3 linked regions of the Neurospora crassa OR74A genome follow. The protein of the gene in region 2 interacts with the protein of the main gene of each other region in a biochemical or structural test. Links are inferred from orthologs where the notes say so. Each region holds a gene or a part of one and is shown on either strand. Other genes may lie near its edges.

Region 1 (4,297 bases), on a different chromosome or scaffold from region 2:
CATCGGCCCCGAGGCTCCCGCTCCCTTCTCCTTGGCTTGATCACTGCGCGTCCGAACATGGCTATAGGGTTGGAGCTTTCAAGCTACCATTCAGACCCTTTGATTTACTCTCCCTTCATCATAAAACGCATCATCGTGTCCTCATCAGGTTCGAGCTTTCGCACCAAAGGACCAATCGGCCTCCATGTGCGTCTACTTATCCTCGCCTTTCTCTTTTAAACATAACTTTGATAACGCCAATTCAAGGGGTATGGTGTGGTGAATAAGCGTGAGGGGGCACTATGAGATTGAAGCAATATAGTTCTGCCGTGTTGTGACTTGTGTTTGGGCGAATGAACTCGTATGGGGGAGCCGAAAGGCTGATGGGGTAAGATGTTTATGGTAGGATTTCCCAGATGGTGCCGTGATCAACATCACATCTGGGTCCCCTCATCCCAATCTTTAACCCAACCATCCCCTTCGTAAAAAGAACTAGACGGATTGTACAGCATTTTACATGTCCATCGACTCGGTGCCGTTAGCACCGAAGTTGAAGCCACCCTGCTGGGCACCACCGGAAGCACCGAATCCAAACTGCTGCTGAGCGCCCATGGCCTCATCACCGGCCTCGTCCTCGTCGGAGAAGTACTTTTCAATGATGTTGTACGCCTTCATGTAGATCTCCTCGTTGGCGTTCGTCTGGCAGTCGTGAATCTTCTCCATTCCTCCGCATTCCTCGATAAATAGGGCATAACGGTTGATCGAGTCAGGGCCATCGCCAGCGGCGTTCTTGTCGAGCTCGCCAACCTTGAGAATATTCTCAAGACCATCCAGGGCAACCTGGATAATCTTGTTGTCAGGGCAAGCCAGAAGGTCGCAGAGCGGCTTGATGCAGCCTTGAGCAACCAAGTATCTGATCTGATCGGGCTTCTGGAGACCACCCGAAGTCGCGTTGCTGATAGCCCAGCAGGCCTCCTTACGAGTCTTGAGGTCGGCATGGGAGAGAAGGTGGATCAAAGGAGGGATGATGTTGGCGTCAATGACAGATTGGATCTGAGCCGAGTTTCCAGCAGTAATGTTGCTGATGGTCCAGCAAGCCTCCTTGCGGATGCCATCCTTGTTGGAGCTCAGAAGCGACAGGAGGCAGGGAAGGGCACCGCAGTTAATGATAACCTGGGTCTGAACATCGTCTCCCGTCACAATGTTGCCAACGGATCGAAGCGCGGGCGTCTGGACAGAGGTGGAAGCATGCATGAGGAGCTCAACAAGACGCCTGGGAATGCCAGCCTCAATAACCGCCTGGATTTTGTCGTTGGATCCATCCGAGAGGTAGGAGATGGCCCAGCAAGCGTCAATAAGAACCTCGTCGTCGAGCGAGTAGACGAGCTTGGCGAGAACTGGCAAAGCAGGGGCGATCTATGATGGATCAGTAGACATACTAGATTGTTCGTGATCGAGAGAACTAACCGTGTTCCAGTCGGGCTGAGGAGTCTTGCCACGGCAGAAGTTACTAAGAGTCCAGGTAGCATTCCTGAGCATGCTAAGTTTGCGGCTATCACCAAGGAGGGTCAACAAAGGACGCAGAGCACCGCAGCTTAGAACGTAATCACGGCATTGAGGGCTATCGCCAGCAATATTGCCGAGAGCCCAAACAGCCTGTTCACGCACATCAGGCTCGGGGCTTCCGAGAAGCTCGACGAAGATGGGAACAGCACCAGCTTCGATGACAACCTGGGTTTGAGTGGCAGAGCCCGAAGCAATGTTGGTAAGGGCCCAAGCGGCCTCGAACTGGACCAGGGTGTGGGGGGAGCGGAGGAACTCGACGAAGCGACCAACGACGCCGGTCTTGATAACCTCCTCAATGGGAGGGTTGCGCTCCTTGCTGAGCAGCTTTCTGAACTTAGTGGTCGCCTGAATTTGCTTATCGATCTCACTGGAGAAGACACCCTCGACCATCTTGGGAAGGTCCTCGCTCAACTATGACAACTGGGTTAGCATGTGGAGATCAACTATAACAAAGATCGGGGACGTGACGGAATGTGGGGTGGTTTTCGTTTGTACAATGTTCGAGTTTGCGCGCGCAGCTTGAATGCAGGTTCGGCACTGCCTGGGGGTTTGTGGCTCAAGCATCACCATCATCGGCGGGGTACACGTGGGGGAGAGAAGGGAGAGGCGATGGACGGACGCAGTAGCAAAATTGTGGCCGATCATGTAAGGGGAGTAAGATAGAGGTTTGCATACCTGAGACTCGGTGGGAGGGTTCTCATCGTCACTGTCGGGGGCGGCACCAAGGGAAGCTCCAGGCCGCGAGTCGCCAGCACCAATACCGCGCCTCTTGGCCAAGTTCTCCTCGCGCTTCGCCTTGCGAATTTCGACCTGCTGTTCCTCACGACGGCGACGAAGCTCATCGGGCTTGAAAGCACTCTTGGCCTTGAACTGGGTGCGACGATGCTCGGGAATGTATCGGTCAGCCATGGTTGCGACGCGATGTCGAGACGACGGTGTCTAGACGGATGGGTGATGGAGGTGTGATATGAAGGCGGCAAACGAGGGGCGATGCAATCGATGAAGCCCCGGCGACGAAGTTGCTGCGAGCCGTTCAAAGGGAGGTATATGCGATCAAGAAAAGCCGGAGAATTGGAAGAGCCCGGTTGATACGGTCCTGCCAAAGCAATCCTGAATGGGACGGAGAAAAGTATGGGTGCGTTGTCGGCGAGACGGAAAACGTCAGAGAAGGATTGGGTTTTGGGGATGGATGGGGCAGGCGAGTTGTGTGTTTTTTGAGGAGCGACGATGAAAGAATTTGGGAGTTCGCCCGCGCCTCGAGCAGAAAGCGGAAACAAGAATGCGGCGGCGGCTTGTCCCCTCCTCTACCAGCACTTTCCACCTCCACGAAAGTGAAGTCCAAGTGCAGGCAGTCACTGTGCCCTGCCTGCCACTCAGTCACAGCTGCCCCTCAGGCCTGAAGGTGGCCCAGTCACTGCCCACAGCGCCCAATGCTGGCACCAACTGTAGCGAAAAGAGTTTGGCTTCTGAAAGTGGGGATGGAAGAGCCAAGCTCGAGCACAGGCCACATGAGCAGCTTTGTAACTTGTCCGCTGTTCTTGGAGTGCAGGAACTTGTCCACCATTGGGTGGCCCCACCTCAGAGCGGCTGGACCCTCCAGGCATTCTTCTCATTCCTTCCATTTTGCTTGTGAACGTCATGGATTGTTTGCAGGTTACACACTGCCCGTCATAACTTCATCGACCTCAGGCCGCGTCCGTCGAGCCGCAAGCTTTTCGTTTCCCTGAATGACTACGACATGTTTCAGTTACTTGAAAGAACGACGTCAAAAGGCCGCTCTCAACCTCCCACCGTCTGAGCTAGGTAGATACGTCTTTGCTACCTCCAGGCTTTAGGTTGTGTTGGGAGGCTGGCCTGCAAGGTCCTGTTCGGGAGTCCCCGACCCCTCATGACTATACTGGGTAGGTAAGAGAAAGCACAGACCATGCGTCTAACCATTACCGTAGCCCTGCAAGGCTTGCTGAAAGCACAGCGCTTCAAGTCTGATGGTCTGGCCCGACGGGCGGCCAAGACCCTTGCCCTGCACATGCGGTCGCGCAAACTTGGCGATTGGGCAGGTGCCATTTCCGCTTTCAAGACGCGTAAAGTGAACGCGTAATGTACGACGTATAACACTGAAGTCCCCAAGTTGCCCTACAACGGTTGGTAAGTATCACGACCAACCGCTGGTGGTGTTTCATCCACATACTCATCCGCCGCCATGTAATCGGAACGGAGAGTTGGGATATCCAGATGATGCGCCCGCTCAGAGACAGGAAACCGGCGGCCAAGGCAAAGCCACCACTTTTTCCGTCAACGCTCACACCCCTACGAGCCATTCTCGACGATGACGGTGATGCCCAGCCCGGGTCCATGGTCAATGTCATTGGTGTTCTTAAGGACTGCCGAGCACCCGTCGCGACACACGGATCGGACTGGAAGTGCACCCTGACCATATCTGACCTGTCCATTGAAGATGAATCGGCCGGAGTTGAGCTCGTCATCTTCCGCCCCGAGGCACGGATGCCCGAAGTCGGCGCCGGAGACGTGCTTGTTGTTCTAAGCGCAAAAGTTCAGAGGTTCAAGTCCAACCCAAAGTCTCTCATCACCAGCAAGATCACCACCGTTTGCGTTTACAAGGCAGCGACAATACCCGTCTATCCCGCTTCAGCACAGGTAGCACTCTTGCCCCCAAAGCAAGGTGAAAGCCACAAGCTGTTGAAGGAGGAACACCACCAGTATGTGTCCTACTTATACAACGTGATCGACAAGT
Region 2 (4,086 bases):
TGTCTTAGTGTAGGCCCTGGAAACCCAACCAAATAGCCGTTGGCTGTCCCTTATTAAGTGCAGGTATTTATCTTGGTGGGAAGACTTATACGGACGACACAGCAATCCCCGAGGGATGCTGGAGAGGGAGCTTGATCGTGAATCTGTGGTACCTTCTTATAATCGCTAGGTAGGTAGGTATTAACTGGTACGACAAGGAGCGTTCTTTATCTAACAGTTTAGAAGTGGTCACTACATCCACAACGCTTTCTGTTGACGGGTGTTCTGGAAGAAAAGGGATGGGGGCTTCTTGGATTTCAGAGACCCCCTACATATTAGGGAGGGAAGTCACTGCTAGCCTAGGCAGCCAATGCCGATGAGAGCCCCATCTCCTTTTGCCTGTTAGCATGGAAGTCTGGCTTGTCTGGCAGCCGGCCAGGCAGGCAGGGACCTTTGAACAAGCGCCAGGGAAGCAACATTATACGTAGGTAGGTACTTCAGTTGTAACTAAGAGAGACCACAATCTGGGCGGGGAGGGGGTGTGCGTCATAGAGGATAGGTCTCTCAACCTTGGTCCGCAGGTAACTGTTGTTGGTAAGTTTCTGTAGAGTTGGTGGTAACGCCTAAGAAAAGATACAGTGCACATCTGGAAGCGGATAGAAACGTCACTTCTCTCACCCTCCCTTTTCCACGACCCCCCGGCCTTCAGCCCTCCACTTCAAATGCGGCACCTGGACCCCCGTTCAACGTCTAGCAGCCCTGCGGTTGCCGGGTAGGGTGTAGTTGCTAGTAGTGAAGCACTGAGCCTTGGGCGTCGTGGGAGCCTGGCCACCTCAGTTGTGTTCTTGGAGACATCCATCATAGGTACCTAGGTACACCATGTGCCATCTTTTACTTCCACTTCACATGAAAGGACAGATGTTCTTTATCCTAAAACTTTGTTCAATTGCCCGTGGGCAAAGCGTCTTCTTGAAGTGTTTGCAGAGGTTTTGCATTTCATTGTCCCTTCTTCCCAAGTCGTTTCCTGCAGTGAGACGTCTAATTCCTTCTTTCCCGAGAAACACGGAGCGAGCCGTTTGGTGCAGGCGAGCATTCCCGTCGACCTTTCAGGCCTGGTCAGCAAAAGTTTAGCGAAGAAACCGCACGAGCCAGGCGACGAAGGTAACACCAAACACAGCACTAGGTACTGGGATACGTTACAGGCTCCCGTCCCTCCCAACAACAACAGGCAACAACACCCCCCCCCCCCCCCCCCCCAGCCGGACAGCATCGAAACTGAAAGCATACACAACCCACCCACCTGCACCTTCACCAGCACGGCGAAGCATCAGCACCTGCGATTGTTGACAAAATTTTCGAGCAAAACAAGACCCGCAGTTCGGCGTCAGCACTGCACTGTGTCTGGATTCTCCTCTCTCCTTCCACTTGCAGGCGAACGCTCGGAACAGCGACAAACCCCTCGCATCGCCATCCCCCATCCATCCCTCTCTATCCCCATCGCAATCGTCTCCAGACGGACCGCATCGATACCATCCATCCACCAACCGCCATCACCTGGCATCCAGATCCCACCCACGGCTCTGCATCTGCGCCTCGCCTCTGCGGTTCGATCTGATCTCACCGAAAGCAAATCGAGTCTTGCCCCGATTAAGATTCAAGGTTGCTGTGGACCGTGAACCTTGGACTCCCGCCCCCCGCTTGTTCCACGCAGCAAAACTTTAGTTGCATCAAGCCCAGGCCGACTTTCTCTCCCTTTCGGAAACCCCCCCCCTCCCTCTTCTCCCACTACCACCGCCAACCCGCTTCGTTTGCTGGAGAGAGACCCGTTCTTCCTCCGAACCAGGCATCCAAACCGCAACCATGGAGGGCTCTTCAGATATCAACACCGTCCTCACCAACTCGCTGAGTCCTGGTCAGTATATATTCGACATCCTCACCCATGCCCCGACCCTCCTGCCTTTTGGCAGCCGCTCTCGCCATGATGAATCGCGTCAGCTCGTCCAAGCCGTGACGCACATGCTGACTCCTTGTCTCTAGACGCGACCCTGCGACATGCTGCCGAACAGCAGCTCAGCCAAGCCGCTCAGACAAACTTCGTATGGCCTCCTCCCCTCGTTGCTCCTGTGTCGCGTCCCCACAGCAAGGCCTTCATAAACGCTAACTTGGCTGTTTCTTAGTCTCAATACCTCGTGACACTTGTCCAAGAGTTGGCAAATGAGAGCGCCCAGAGCCACATCCGAGCGGCGGCCGGTATCGCCCTCAAGAACGCCTTCAGTGCTCGCGAGTTCGCTAGGCAAGCAGAGCTCCAAGCAAAATGGCTTCAGCAGACAGACCAAGACACAAAGACACGGGTGAAACAGCTCACCCTCGAGACCCTCGCCTCCAGCAGTACCCAGGCAAGCCAGGCCTCGGCGCAGGTTATCGCGGCTATCGCTACCATCGAGTTACCACGAAACGAGTGGCCAGACCTTATGCACGCCCTGGTCAAGAATGTTAGCGAGGGAAGCGAGCACCAGAAGCAGGCCTCTCTGACCACCATCGGCTTCATCTGCGAGAGTCAAGATGTCGATCTACGAAACAGCCTGGTTCAACATTCCAATGCCATCCTCACAGCTGTTGTCCAAGGTGCTCGTAAGGAGGAGCCCAACCGCGAAGTTCGACTTGCCGCCATTACCGCCCTCGGCGACTCTCTTGAGTTTGTCGGTAACAACTTTAAGCATGAGGGCGAGCGCAACTACATTATGCAGGTTATTTGCGAGGCGACACAGGCCGAGGACTCTCGGATACAGCAGGGTGCTTATGGTTGCCTCAACCGCATCATGGCCCTCTACTACGAGAACATGCGCTTCTACATGGAAAAGGCTTTGTTTGGTCTCACCATCCTGGGCATGAAGAGCGATGACGAGGATGTGGCCAAGCTTGCAGTTGAGTTCTGGAGTACCGTTTGCGAAGAGGAGATTGCTATCGAAGATGACAATGCTCAGGTACGTTTCACTGCCACCTTGGTTGAGCAAGAATCCCACTAACAACAGCTGCAGGTTGAGAGCTCGGAGCAGATGCGCCCCTTCTACAACTTCGCCCGCGTTGCTACACTCGAAGTGGTCCCTGTGCTCCTACAGCTCCTCACCAAGCAAGATGAGGATGCGGCTGATGACGAGTACAACATTTCGCGTGCCGCGTACCAGTGTCTCCAACTCTATTCTCAGGCTGTTGGTGCGGCAATCATCCAGCCAGTCATCCAGTTCGTTGAAGCCAACCTTCGCGCTGACGACTGGCACCTCCGTGATGCCGCTGTTTCTGCTTTCGGTGCCATGATGGACGGCCCCGAGGAGAAGTTGCTTGAGCCTATCGTCAAGTCTGGCATGCAGCCCTTGATCGGCATGATGGAGGACCCCTCTTTACATGTTCGTGACTCGACCGCATACGCTCTTGGCAGAATTACAGAAACTTGCTCGGAAGTGATCGATCCTGCTGTTCACCTTGACCCCTTGATCACCTCCCTGTTCAACGGCCTCATGAGCAGCCCCAGAATGGCCGCGTCCTGCTGCTGGGCTTTGATGAACCTCGCGGAGCGTTTTGGCGGCGAATATGGTGCCGCGCAAAACCCCATTACTCCTCACTTCAACCAGTGCGTGACCAACTTGCTCGCCGTGACGGCGAAGCTTGACGGTGACGCTACAGTTCGCACCGCTGCCTACGAGGTTCTTAACGTGTTTGTGCAGAATGCTGCCAACGACAGTCTCCCTGCTGTTGCATCCCTCTCGGATGTTATCCTTCAACGTTTGGAGGAAACACTGCCCCTGCAATCCCAAGTTGTCAGCGTTGAAGACAAGATCACTCTCGAGGATATGCAGACCAGTCTCTGCACCGTGCTCCAGGCAATCATTCAGCGCCTGGACAAGGAGATCACTCCCCAAGGCGACCGCATCATGCAGGTTCTGCTTCAGCTCTTGAACACTATTAATGGCAAGTCGGCTGTTCCTGAAGGTGTCTTCGCAGCCATCAGCGGCCTTGCGAACGCCATGGAGGAGGACTTTGCCAAGTACATGGACGCTTTTGCTCCCTTCCTGTACAATGCCCTGGCAAACCAGGAAGAGCCGAGTCTCT
Region 3 (3,978 bases), about 7.4 Mb from region 2:
CCATTTATTTCCCTTCCCTTCCCTTCCCTTTCCCTTCACCTGTTCACACCACCGGCCCTGTACGAGCGGTAAAAGCTCTGAGCGGCATCCGACTCGTTGACGCCTTGGTGGGCACCCATGCCGCTGGTAGCCTTTTGGGCAGCGGCCACCTTGGCTTGGAGGTCGGCGGCGTTTTGGTCGATCCACTGAAGCTGGTGAAGGTGACCGTTGAGGACACGGACGATTTGGCTGAGCTGTTGTGTTTTGTTTATCGTGTGCGTTAGTGATTGGATAAAATAAGGGAAAAATGGAGAAAAAGGAGAGAAAAAGGAGGAGAAAAAAAAGGGAGAGAGAAAAACATACCGGATCATCAGGCTTGCTCCCCTTGCTCAACGTGCCCGTCATATCATTTATCTCCTTGATCATCTTGGCCAAATCCTTGCCCATCTCATCCAGCCTATCCGTCAGCTTCTCGGCAAGCTTATACGTCCTCTCGCGCTCCTGATCGGGGCCCAAGCCGTCGCCAACACCGCCAGCAGCCTTTGACTCGCCGCCGGATCCAAGCTGCTGCTTCTTGAACAACTCCTCCAGCTGTGCCTCGTACTGGTCCAGCCACGCGGTCAGCTCGTCCTGCTGCGACTCGACGCCCGAGAGCTGGCGCTCGATCTCGTTGCTGGCCTTTTCGGCCTCGTACGTGCTGGTGTACAGCTTCTGGATCTTCTCGCCGTTTTCGACCAGGAGGCGGTCCCATTCGGCCACCTTGGCGGCTTGCGACTTGAATTCCTTCTGGTACTTGGAGAGATCGGTGGCCCAGCGGGTGATGATTTCATCCATGGTCTTGTTCTTCAACCGCGGGAGAGTAGAAGTGGGGCCGGTGGTCGTGGAGGCGAGGTTGCCGGTGGTGCTGGTGGTGCCGGCGGCAGTAGTGGTGTTGTTGGTGGTGGTTTTGGAGGTGGTGGTGTCCGCAGGCTTGGCTCCTCCTCCAAAGAGACTGCTGGTGGTTCCAGCAGTGGCGGTGGTGCTCCCACCGGCAGTGGTGGTGGCCGCTGTGGTAGTGGCGGGCTTGGTGGTGGCCGCACCGAAGAGGCCGCTAGTTGTGGTCGAAGACGAAGGAGCAGGCGCCGTGGTTGTGGTCGTCGAAGGCGTAGTCGATCCAAACAAGCCTCCTGATGCTGGGGCAGTAGAGGTAGTGGTAGCATCCTTGTTGGCGCCGAACAGACTGCCGGAAGCAGCAGTGGTGGTAGAGGTGGCAGGAGCTGAGGTAGCAGGAGTGGCGCCGAACAGACCACCCGTAGCTGGCTTTGCGGCTTCGGCCGGCTTGCTTGTGTTGGCACCAAAGAGGCCGGAAGTTGCTGGTGCTGTGGTGGTCGTGGTCGATGTCGTAGCCGGGGTTGTCGAGGCTCCGCCAAACAGGCTGCCACCGCTGGTCGCAGGCTTCGCGCCAAAGAGAGTAGATCCGGAAGTGGCTGTCGTCGCGGGAGTTGTGCTGGACGCAGGCTCGGCTGGCTTGGCGCCAAAGAGACCAGAAGTGGTGCCAGAGGTGGTGGTCTCGGCTGGCTTCGCTCCGAACAGAGATGGTGTTGTTCCCGAGGTGGGGGCAGGGGTTGTGGTCGGGGTACTCGAGGCTCCTCCTCCTCCAAAGAGGTTGCCAGAGGCAGGCTGGGTAGCACCAAAGAGAGAGGGCGCGGCCTTGGAAGCGTCAGCAGCAGGTGGTGCACCGGCTGGGGTAGTCGATCCTAGTCCAAACGAGGTCTTAGCCGGCGTCGTCTGAGAGTTGGCGCCAGCTCCGAAGAGACCACCGGTAGCCGGAGTAGTAGAAGCATTGTTTCCAAACAGACCTCCCGAAGGAGCTCCTGTTGCGGGTGTGGTGCTGGCCCCGCCACCAAACAAGTTCGAGCCACCAGCGGCGGGGGTTGTCGATGTGTTGGCAGTGGTGTTTCCAAACAAGCCTGCGCCAGGCGTCGTGCTGCCTCCTCCGGCAGTGTTGGAAGCAGAGCCGAAAAGCGAAGGTGTAGTCGAGGTGGTATTGGCTCCGAATAGTCCTCCAGGTTTCGAGGCATCTGTAGGCTTAGCGCCAAACAAGCTACCGGCTGGCTGTGTCGAGCTCGCTGCTGGGGTGCCGAAGGAGGAGGCTCCGAAGAGACCACCGGATGTAGCAGTTGTTGCTGGTTGGCCCGAGGCCGCGCTGGAGCTTGGTGTACCGAAGAATGACATGATTGCGATTATGTGAGGCTGACGATATGATGTCGAGGTTTCGGGGTTGGTTGGTTGGATGGATGGATGAGGCGTTGGTGGTTGGGTAGTCGTCGTCAACCAAAATCTAGAAAGTCAACAACAGCGTCCCACTTCCCAAGGCTGTTGCGGTTACCTCAACAACAACAGGGAGCGCGCGGAAACCCAAGCAACGATTCGTTGAAATGCGAAGAGGAAGATCGGCGCGATCTCGGTTTTGAGTAAGTGATGCAATGGTCCAGCCGTGGTTATCGGATCGCGAGTTTTGGACGTCGGTTCGGAATCCGTTTGGTGGAGTGGACGTGGACGTCGTTTGGGCGTGGATTGGAGAAAGCAAAGAAAGTGTGGCAGCGTCACTCAGTCTCTCGGTCTCTGTTTGTCAAGGTTCCGTCCGTCGCGACAGGCCTTTCCACTTTTTTGGAGGTGCTGCAGCGCGCCTGGGCTTTTCCCCTTCTGGGGACCCGGACGCGCACTCAACAAGGCCAAGCATTTCCCGCTTATTGGAGCACTCCAGTCACCACTGCAACGAGTCAGCCCCAGGTGAAGTGGTCAGCCTCACCTCACCTACCCCGTCTAACATTTTACTAGCAAGTGCCAAGCGTGCACGGCCAATCAATATGTGGCTTGACGGCAGTTCGACAACTGACGGAGAACTTGAGCAATGACGGGGCGGGCCTCATAAACTGAAGCGAAGTGCTGACTTTCCACTTGCCGTGATGCTCTTCTGCATTCTGACTGGACCGTCTGGTTGCAGCACATTACGCAGCGAGTTACCATACAGTTTCCGGACACGGCGGTACCTTAGTACCATACCGTACCGTACCGTACCGCACCGTCCCAGGGTAGCCGAGCAAGAAGCAGGAGCCCCGTTCAGTCGTCTCGGAAAGCTTGGGGTGGTGGTTACCCCATGTTCTAGATTAGGCCATCGTGAGCCCATCCTCTAGACTAACTCTAGGCCATCCGGAAGCTGTTCCTTTCTCTCGTCTCTCTCCACACACATTGCTGTCCATCGTCTGGACATTGGGATGCCACAAGTCAGCCGCAACGTCTGTGTGCATACCCAATCTTGATTCAGTTCACTTTGACCTCAGGCCATCTGCTGCGTGCAATTGACCTATCTCCTGCAGAGTATAAGAGTCGGCTTACTCCCGTCTTGTTATAGGACACTCCAGTCCTGTCCCTCACAGCAGTAAACATACTGTAGCACCCCACACCAACTACATCACTCCTCAGTCCTCACCTTGGCCCCCCGATCCCCGATCCCGATCCTCCCATATCCATATCCATATCCATATACATATACATACACCTATCTTGCTTCCTACCTACCATATACATTTCTGCGCTTCCTTCAGCACTCACCATAGTCGGAAATCCTCTTGTTCTTTGATCGTATAGACCGCCGCGACTACGCTTCGAGATCACAATGGCTTCGCGCAGGAACAGTCTGTCGCCTCCCGAGAGGCAGGGGACCATGGACCCGGGCGCTCATGAGCTACCTGGTAGGTTACAGCTGATGGGGAACTTGGGAGACCTCTGGACAAAGTCGGCACATGGATATCCAACTAACCATTCATTCTACGCGACAACAGGCTCCGACACCGAAGATCACTACTCCGATGCCATCTCTTCTCCCAAAGCTCCCTCCTCGCCCATCCCGCGAACAAGAGTCGAGAGAGTAGACGACAAGCCGGCGTATGGAGAGGTCCCGGGGACCAAGGCGTATTCTATGAGGGAAGGGGACGCGAAGCCGGATGAATTTGCCAT

What was found. The genes of interacting proteins can lie anywhere in the genome.
Region 1: the proteins of NCU02011 (region 2) and NCU01249 form a complex in vitro, tested with the Saccharomyces cerevisiae proteins (6 studies listed by BioGRID). The link is inferred for Neurospora crassa OR74A from reciprocal best matches to the Saccharomyces cerevisiae genes KAP95 and SRP1.
Region 3: the proteins of NCU02011 (region 2) and NCU02808 form a complex in vitro, tested with the Saccharomyces cerevisiae proteins (2 studies listed by BioGRID). The link is inferred for Neurospora crassa OR74A from reciprocal best matches to the Saccharomyces cerevisiae genes KAP95 and NSP1.

What each region holds. Positions count from the first base shown.
Region 1 is NC_026505.1:3,366,264-3,370,560, reverse strand, and holds the start of NCU01249 (importin alpha subunit), read right to left. Parts: upstream 2,801-4,297; 5' UTR 2,455-2,800; coding exon 2,221-2,454; intron 1,957-2,220; coding exon 1,447-1,956; intron 1,396-1,446; coding exon 493-1,395; 3' UTR 1-492. Other genes in the region: NCU01248 (hypothetical protein), read left to right, coding at 3,778-4,297. UniProt on the Saccharomyces cerevisiae protein: Functions in nuclear protein import as an adapter protein for importin beta nuclear receptors. Binds specifically and directly to substrates containing either a simple or bipartite NLS motif. Promotes docking of import substrates to the nuclear envelope.
Region 2 is NC_026501.1:1,681,537-1,685,622, reverse strand, and holds the start of NCU02011 (importin subunit beta-1), read left to right. Parts: upstream 1-1,237; 5' UTR 1,238-1,839; coding exon 1,840-1,891; intron 1,892-2,016; coding exon 2,017-2,075; intron 2,076-2,156; coding exon 2,157-2,963; intron 2,964-3,017; coding exon 3,018-4,086. UniProt on the Saccharomyces cerevisiae protein: Importin beta subunit that functions in nuclear protein import through association with the importin alpha subunit, which binds to the classical nuclear localization signal (cNLS) in cargo substrates.
Region 3 is NC_026501.1:9,052,819-9,056,796, reverse strand, and holds the start of NCU02808 (hypothetical protein), read right to left. Parts: upstream 2,801-3,978; 5' UTR 2,194-2,800; coding exon 343-2,193; intron 234-342; coding exon 36-233; 3' UTR 1-35. Other genes in the region: NCU02809 (hypothetical protein), read left to right, coding at 3,638-3,713, 3,804-3,978.